2 linked regions of the Oryzias latipes genome follow. The protein of the gene in region 2 interacts with the protein of the main gene of each other region in a biochemical or structural test. Links are inferred from orthologs where the notes say so. Each region holds a gene or a part of one and is shown on either strand. Other genes may lie near its edges.

Evidence for each region. The genes of interacting proteins can lie anywhere in the genome.
Region 1: of the proteins of cdk1 (region 2) and sp1, one has a biochemical effect on the other in vitro, tested with the Homo sapiens proteins (2 studies listed by BioGRID). The link is inferred for Oryzias latipes from reciprocal best matches to the Homo sapiens genes CDK1 and SP1.

What each region holds. Positions count from the first base shown.
Region 1 is NC_019863.2:10,447,746-10,451,497, forward strand, and holds the start of sp1 (transcription factor Sp1), read right to left. Parts: upstream 2,522-3,752; 5' UTR 2,425-2,521; coding exon 2,418-2,424; intron 1,819-2,417; coding exon 1,745-1,818; intron 1-1,744. UniProt on the Homo sapiens protein: Transcription factor that can activate or repress transcription in response to physiological and pathological stimuli.
Region 2 is NC_019873.2:1,586,302-1,590,053, reverse strand, and holds the start of cdk1 (cyclin-dependent kinase 1), read right to left. Parts: upstream 2,210-3,752; 5' UTR 2,202-2,209; intron 2,162-2,201; exon of another isoform or gene 2,017-2,161; intron 1,853-2,016; 5' UTR 1,847-1,852; coding exon 1,810-1,846; intron 1,521-1,809; coding exon 1,364-1,520; intron 931-1,363; coding exon 807-930; intron 524-806; coding exon 353-523; intron 284-352; coding exon 120-283; intron 7-119; coding exon 1-6. UniProt on the Homo sapiens protein: Plays a key role in the control of the eukaryotic cell cycle by modulating the centrosome cycle as well as mitotic onset; promotes G2-M transition via association with multiple interphase cyclins.

The sequences.
Region 1 (3,752 bases), on a different chromosome or scaffold from region 2:
TGTACAGTGAAATAAAATATTTTAGTAGGTAGTCCTTAACCCTTTTCAGGCCACTGACTGTTTAATGTCAGACAAGGCTGAGGTAAAAGTCCACATTTTTTTAAGTTTTCAGTTTCCCTTAACTTTTGATTGTAAAGTTTATTTTCATTCTCTGTAAAATATCTGCAGAGGATTGAAATTTTATTTGTAAACTAGAATCATTCAAATGTGACAAATTTCCCCTAAACTCATAAATGTTAAAGTGGAAGCTAAAAAATTGGCACCAACTTCAGTCTTGTCCAACTTTTAAAGTGCAACAGATTAAAAAATAAAATAACATTACTTAAACACGTATTAAAAGATGAAAAAAAAGATTATTATCATGGTGTTTGGGAACTACTGTAGATAAATCCGTATTTTGAGTACAGACTACTGGTTTTTGTCTGTTAAATACAACTTTCTTTTTCTCTGAAGTCACTGGGTCTTTTTTTCTGCCAAAAAAAGACAAAAAAACATCTTTTAAATACATTTTTTGTTGTTGTTAACTTTGCTGTCTTGGGGGTTTCAACTTAGCGGTCTATGCTACTGGTTTAAGAAAGTAATAGATGGTTTGTCGACAAGTAACAGAGTGACTTGACATGCGTCAAAAACGAGTCGGATCAGTTGAGGAGAATTCTGTTTTTAAAGATAGGATAAGATATGCCTTTATTGTCATTGTCCATTTGGACAATGAAATTACAGCAGTCACGATTACAGTGCAAAAAACAAATCTAACAAAGTATAATGTAAAAATGTCAATATGCACAGAGTGTACCAAGAATGTGTGCAAATATGCAAAATAAGAAATGTGCAAAAATAAAAATGTATGCAATTATGTGCAGAGTGATATGTACAGATTTAAACATGTCAGATGTGCAAAACAGCATGGAGCTATGGAAGTGTTGACAATTTTACACGGAATAAATACAGTTTCTTTCAAAATCAGATTATAAATAAAACAAAAACAAAAATGTAGGTCATAGTTTCTTTCTCTATGTGCCGGTACCAACTATCCCACGGACTGGTACCGGTCTGCGTCCTGGGGTCAGGGGCCACTGATTTAAATGATTGCTATTAAAAAAGTGTGATATTTACAGCTCTTGTGTAATCTTGAAAAATTCACAATGGCAAACCAAAAAAAAAAGGTCAAAAATATTTCAGTAGGGATTTCAAATGATTGTATAATATGTTAAAAAAAATAATCTTGACAGGACTTTAGGTCTAACAAAAGAAAACGATGTAAACATATTTTATGCTAAACAAACACCAATGTAAATATGGATTATTGAATTAAATAGGTGGATTTGCTCTGTGTTCATGGCAGGATTTAGGGAGTGGGCTTCAGATGGAGGTGGGGGTTGAGGTGGGGTATGGGAGGGACCACAGTTGAGAGGAGTAGTGGCGGGCTCGGCTTCCCCCTCCTCCCAAGCCCACCCCTCTCCCTCCCACACTTTATGTTGCCCTATAAACCAGCGCACCACACTGGCCACCCCCTCAAAGGCATGCCAAATGGGCCGAACAAAACGCACTTGTAGTGCCGGGGGTTGACGGGAACACCCAGTCTGGGAGATTTTTACCTGCCCAGTCCCCACCCCGGTGACATGTGCTCTGGGGAGAAATAAACAACCGGTCCCGAATAACGCCTTCGAGCTAATTCAACAAGTAGCGAAAACAAACCAGGCCAAGACTGACTAAAATCAACAGTCCGAGTGAAGGATAAACCTACTTGTGAGTTAGTGTTCCGCTTCTGAGAGAATCCTCCGCCACTCTCCACTGCGGCCATTTCACCTTGTTGCTGATCTGCGGAAGAAGAGTTGCAAGATTCCCAACTTCAACAAACAGCAAAACACGAGTTTCAGACAATGCGACTCTTTAACACAAGTTTAAACCTCAGACGGGACAAAAATAAAACGTCTTATATATATAAAACTCTAAGTCTGTTTTGTCTTTTTGTAGCGGCTTTTCCAAGAAAAGCAAATGTATAAATGGCAAAGTACTCACGGGGCAAGCTAGCTCAATAGCTAAGCTAACATCAACTAATGGCAAGTGATGTTCTAAGAAATCGCTCTTGAATCTCTTTGAGACTTCAGTTAATCTCTAAAATGTAACGGACTACATGGGCTAAGAATACAGATTGGTCCTGAAAGTACACAGATTTTAGTGTCACTTACGAACAACTTTTTGCCGTTTCGCTAAATGTTGTTAGCCAAGTTCCAACAAGTAGCGTTAACGTCGTTAGGTTTGCTGGCCACTTTTTGACTGCATGTTTATGGCAACTCGATATATAATACTGTGCGTTTACCGCTGCTTATTTGTTTTAAAAAATGTTCTTACTACAATAAAAACTCTGTCAAGCTAAAGATACATAACATACCACTGAGTTTTAAAACTTCACTTACTGCTCATATTTGAAGACGGGAGGAGTTTCTGTGCTCTTTTTCTGCTTAACAACTTTTCACAACTTCACACAAACTTGATAGCCCCTTCCCTTTGAAGGAAAGCACAGAGGTGCGTTTAATTTAGGTACCTTTGTAGCCCGCCATCTTTGTTCTATGTAGTCATAGAAAGAGAACACATTTTTAAAAGTAGGTGCGTTTTAACTATATTAATATATTTGTTTTAAAAACTAAATACACATTGAAAATAGAGCCCCTTAAACCGAGATTTTCTTAAAAGTTAAACGAGTAAAGGTAATTTATAGTTGCATCCATTAACATGTAAAATATAAGACAATTTACTGTAGCTAGGTTTATTTTTCCTGCAAGAAAAAAAATGTTTAGAAAAGTTACTAAGTGAGACTATTTTAAATCAAAATTTTATTTAAAAAATGTATAAATTGATTATCTAGTGTTACTGTCATTCCATTAACGTAGAAAACAAGCGCACCCCCTAGAAAAGCGCCTTGTGAAAGATTACTTCAATCTACCAATCAAACCGTATGTCTCTGCCTCTTACCGTCAGCCAACCAATGGAATTTGAGAAAAGGTGGGTGATATAGGGCGGGTTCATCCACGTTAGGCTGCGCTCCTTAGTCTAATTGACATTGGTTATGTTTTCCGCGTTTCTAAAATGTTGACATATATACGCACGGATTTCTTTGTATAATTCCGAAGAAGGTCTTATGTTTAAACTTAGAAATCGTGCTTAGATTTGTGTCTTGAATTAAAACCTGGAGGTGGGGAAAAAGGAGGACTGTCGATTTGAGTCTTGCCTCCGTGGCCGCTGGCCACTCCTTTTTGTGGCGGATGGGTTGGTAAACACTAGGGAGGAGGCGGGAGAAGGCAGCCAGGGTGGAGAAAAAAAACCTCCACCGTCCTCCAGACACCGACTACAGATGGCTGGGAGTGGAAAGCGCCTCTCGTAGGGGAGGGCTTTCATCGCTTAGTACGAAAGAGGGCTGTCAGTGAAGCAGCACATGTGTCCATGTAAACAGGCCAGAAGGTGGAGTCCATCCATTCTTAACTTTAGGCTTGGACCCACCCCTCAGTGTCACCACTACAACCAAAAGCCCCTGCTGTAGTAAACACATTTTTAGTATTGGCAAAGAAACAGCAAGAACTGATATAGCAGTTATAACGTAGGACAGACCTGTTGATAAATTTTAATAAAAGTAAACTTTGTCATGTTTAATTCAGGGGCGAAAAGGGCTATTTTAAAGATCCACTCTGATAAAAATCATGTTTTTGGTGTTTTTAACATGTTCTAGTGACATTTTTCCTTTGATGGAGGACATA
Region 2 (3,752 bases):
AGAGTCCTGCAGACGGACAATAGAGCCCCTTTACTCTTCAAGACCTGATTTCTCCTTGTAGAATCAGTGTGTGTGTGTGTGTGCGCTGAAAGAAGCTGAATAGTTCTCCCACACGGTACCTAAAGATCCTGAAGAGCTGGTCGATCTCGGAGTCTCCGTGGAACAGGGGCTTCTTGGTGGCGAGTTCAGCAAAGATGGTACCCGTGCTCCACACGTCCACTGGGGTTGAATATCGGGGGGAACCCAGAAGGACCTCAGGAGCTCGATACCACAGAGTCACAACCTGAGAACGAGAAGCTTGGATCAGCTGAGCAGACCTCAGCGTTGGGTTCTGCAGCGGAGCGGTTCCCACCTCGTGGGTGTAGACCCGGACGGGAACACCGAAGGCCCGGGCCAAGCCAAAGTCTGCCAGTTTGATGACGCCCTTGTTATCAATCAGAAGGTTCTGGGGCTTCAGGTCGCGGTGGAGGACCCGCCTTCGGTGACAGAAGTAAATGCCCTCAAGGATCTGATAGAGGTAGCTCTGTAGGGGGGGGCAGAAAAGGGAACAGGCTCAAAGTGGTAGACTGCTAGTTCCACACCAGAACATCCTCACAGACAAGCAGCACAAAGCATCATGGCTGCCTCAGAAGAACTGATGAAGATCTGTGATGTTTGGAGCTGCAGTCCGTGGTTAGTGAGGAACCTGGTGTGTTATCATTCAGAGACCCCCCTCCCCCAGCTGAAACCGGGATGTTCAGCTTAATAGAAAGCGTTTGTCACAACAAAGAGTAGGAAATCTAAAAACGAAGCGCTGAGTGTTTTACCTTGACCAGCATGGGGTCCATGTACTGTCCTGACGGGATGCTATCCAGGTACTTCTTCAGGTCCATGGACAGGAACTCAAAGATCAGGTAGAGGCGAGATTCCTGCATCAGGACATCCAAGAGCCTTTCAGGTGAACACAAAGGTGGAACCATTATTGCACCTCCAAGATCAGCGGAGGGAGTTGAGGGATTCGGCATTAACGCTACTCTGAACATCCCTACAGAAGGACTAAAGAGTTAAAAACCCAAGCAGGACCCCTCTGGAAAGAACATGGAAGCAAGTGGAGGCCTCCCATTACACGTGTGCACGTGTTCAGGTCAGAGTTCATGATCCAACAGTCAGAAAGGGACTTCTGAACAATCATGGATCCACAGGAGAGTTCAAGGAGAAAGAAGTGCTGAACAAGAACAAACATCTGGATTATCCCCAAACGTTCAGATGAGACAAGAGGGACTAAAACCCAGCACCTTTGACCCGGACATCACCTCACTGCATTTTACCTGCAGCGCATGGACATTAATGTCAGGAACCTGTTCAGCGCACACGTGCAGCATACCGGACGACGTTGGGGTGCTTCAGCTCCTGAAGCAGCGACACCTCCCTGACAGCGGTGCTGGGAACTCCCTCCTCCTCACTCTCCAGGCGGATCTTCTTCATGGCCACCACCTGTCCCGTGGACTTGTGCCGGCCTTTGTACACCACCCCGTATGTCCCTGCAGACACCAGAGCAGAGTCAGGGGATGAGGACTCAGACGTCCCAGAACCACTGCAGTCACCCCATCACTCAGATTGTGGTGCAGGGGACCATGATCAGAATGAAGAGCCAGGATCTGAACCAAAGCAAAGCTTGAGACGTCATCCTGGGACATCTCCATATACGGGTGGAGGAACTTTCAAGGACTTCCAAGTTCAGCATCCAGGTGGGCCTCTTTGGTGGGTTTCACCCCCCAAAAAAATCTGGACAACATTTTAGAAAAACAAAAACATTTTTACTCCACCAACCTTCTCCGATTTTCTCTATTTTCACGTAGTCCTCCATCTGTCCCTGAAAGAGAAGACAAATCCTCTCAGCTCGGACTTCTGCAGATGTTCAGACTCCAAACGGTCAGATCCTCCGTTGAGAACCGCTGAACGTTCAGGCCTGAAAACCGTAAAACGAGCAGCTCGACGTTACAGAGACAGAATAAAAACAGTAGGAATCGAACCAACCCCACCGACTTTCACCGGCCAGCTGAGGCCTCTCCAAATCTGAAAACCAGGTTGGGGGAAAACCGAACCGAGCCGTTACCGGAAGGCGCGTGTCCGTCCGCCAACGCGCCTCTCCTCATATCAAAGCGGTACCATTTCATGTCGTGATCTACCGGTTGAAGCCGTTAACGGTTGCCGCTTCTTACCTCCGTGCTGTCGCTGCTCACGCTGCGGATACAAAGCTGACACTCTTTAAAATTGAGCGCAGGACTCGGCTTCAAAACGCACCAATCAGCGCGCTCGACGCTGTTCAAAACAGCTAATCAACGAGCGGGAACGTAGCTGGACGCGCTGACGTCATACAGGTCTCCTGTCTGCGTGCCTGAACGAAAACACATTCTGGATCAGTCTTCCTGTCTCCCCACTAAAGTTTTTTTCCTTTCTCGTTCGTTGGTTTTTAGATTTAGTGCTTGCAGCTTTTTTCGTTTCTGAAACCGTCCCTTTGTTGACTTCCATATTTCAATCTTTCTTTTTTTCCTTTTAAAACCTTTCTTTTTAAATTTTAATTTTTTCCGCTTTTAATAGTTTTTAAAGAATTTTACTTCCTTTTTGTTTTGTATTAAACATTTTTATCTTCACCGTCGTTTTAGTCTTAATCGTTTCCCTGGAAAGCTGTCTCTCGTTGTTACACTCGTCTTCATCCTCTGTTGTTGCTGTTCACCATATCCCTTCAGCTTTCACTGATCTGCAGTCGGTTTGGCAGAGATATGTACACTGAATGGCCTTCCTGACACAATCCTGTATTTACTTTAGGCCGGGACCGACACTTTCTGGCTACATAGTTAGGCAGGAGCCTAACACTGGATGAAGCTCATTGCACCCCATGGGAATCAAACCCGGGTTTCTCATGCACCAGGCCTACATGCAGCCAATGTAGTCATCCAGCTGCTCTTCTGGCCATACTCTGGACTTTGCTTTTTCTCAAAAACTCTCAATTTTTTAAAATGATTTTATTCTTATAACTTAGCAAGAAAATGTGTTTATTTTTTAAATAAATAACATTGAGTTTTCTTTCTAAAACTATTAGAAAGGACACAATAGGTTAAAGAAAACATTATAGATAATGTGCCACCTGGGGCCTGTTTCAGAAAGGAGGTTAAGTGTAAACTCTGAGTGCGTTAACCCTGAAATCAGGGAAACCCTGGGTTTTCTGTTTCAGAATGGGAGGTTTGTTAAACCAGAGAAAGCAGAGTAAGTCAAACCCGTTTCTGAAAGAGAGGTAACTTATACTCTGAGTCAGTGTCCATGGTTACTTACGCTGTGAACCTAACCTGGTGGGGAGCAGGTTTTATTCTCTAAACTCAAGGTTTCTGCCGGTCCCCTCCCCTTTTTAAAGACGAAGCGATATTTTTCGCTTTAACCTTCATTGCCCAAATGTCCGTCACACAGAGACAAGTGACAAGAATGGCTTGTCCTTTTTTGGAGGACCCAATAGACGAGGAGGCTGCATTAATTCGTAGAGAATTACATTTACCTCGTACGAGGATTTTGAGACCTAGACTCGATTTTTTGTCATTTCCCCATACGTTTTTGTTTGAGCGTTACCGTTTTTCATTGCAGTCAATTACATATATACAATGAAAACAACATTAGATATTGCTATGTAGATGTTTCATATGTCAAATATTGTCAACAAAGCCTACATCCATGACATGCTCAAATTTGACCTGATTGAATTATGTTTTTATACTTCATTT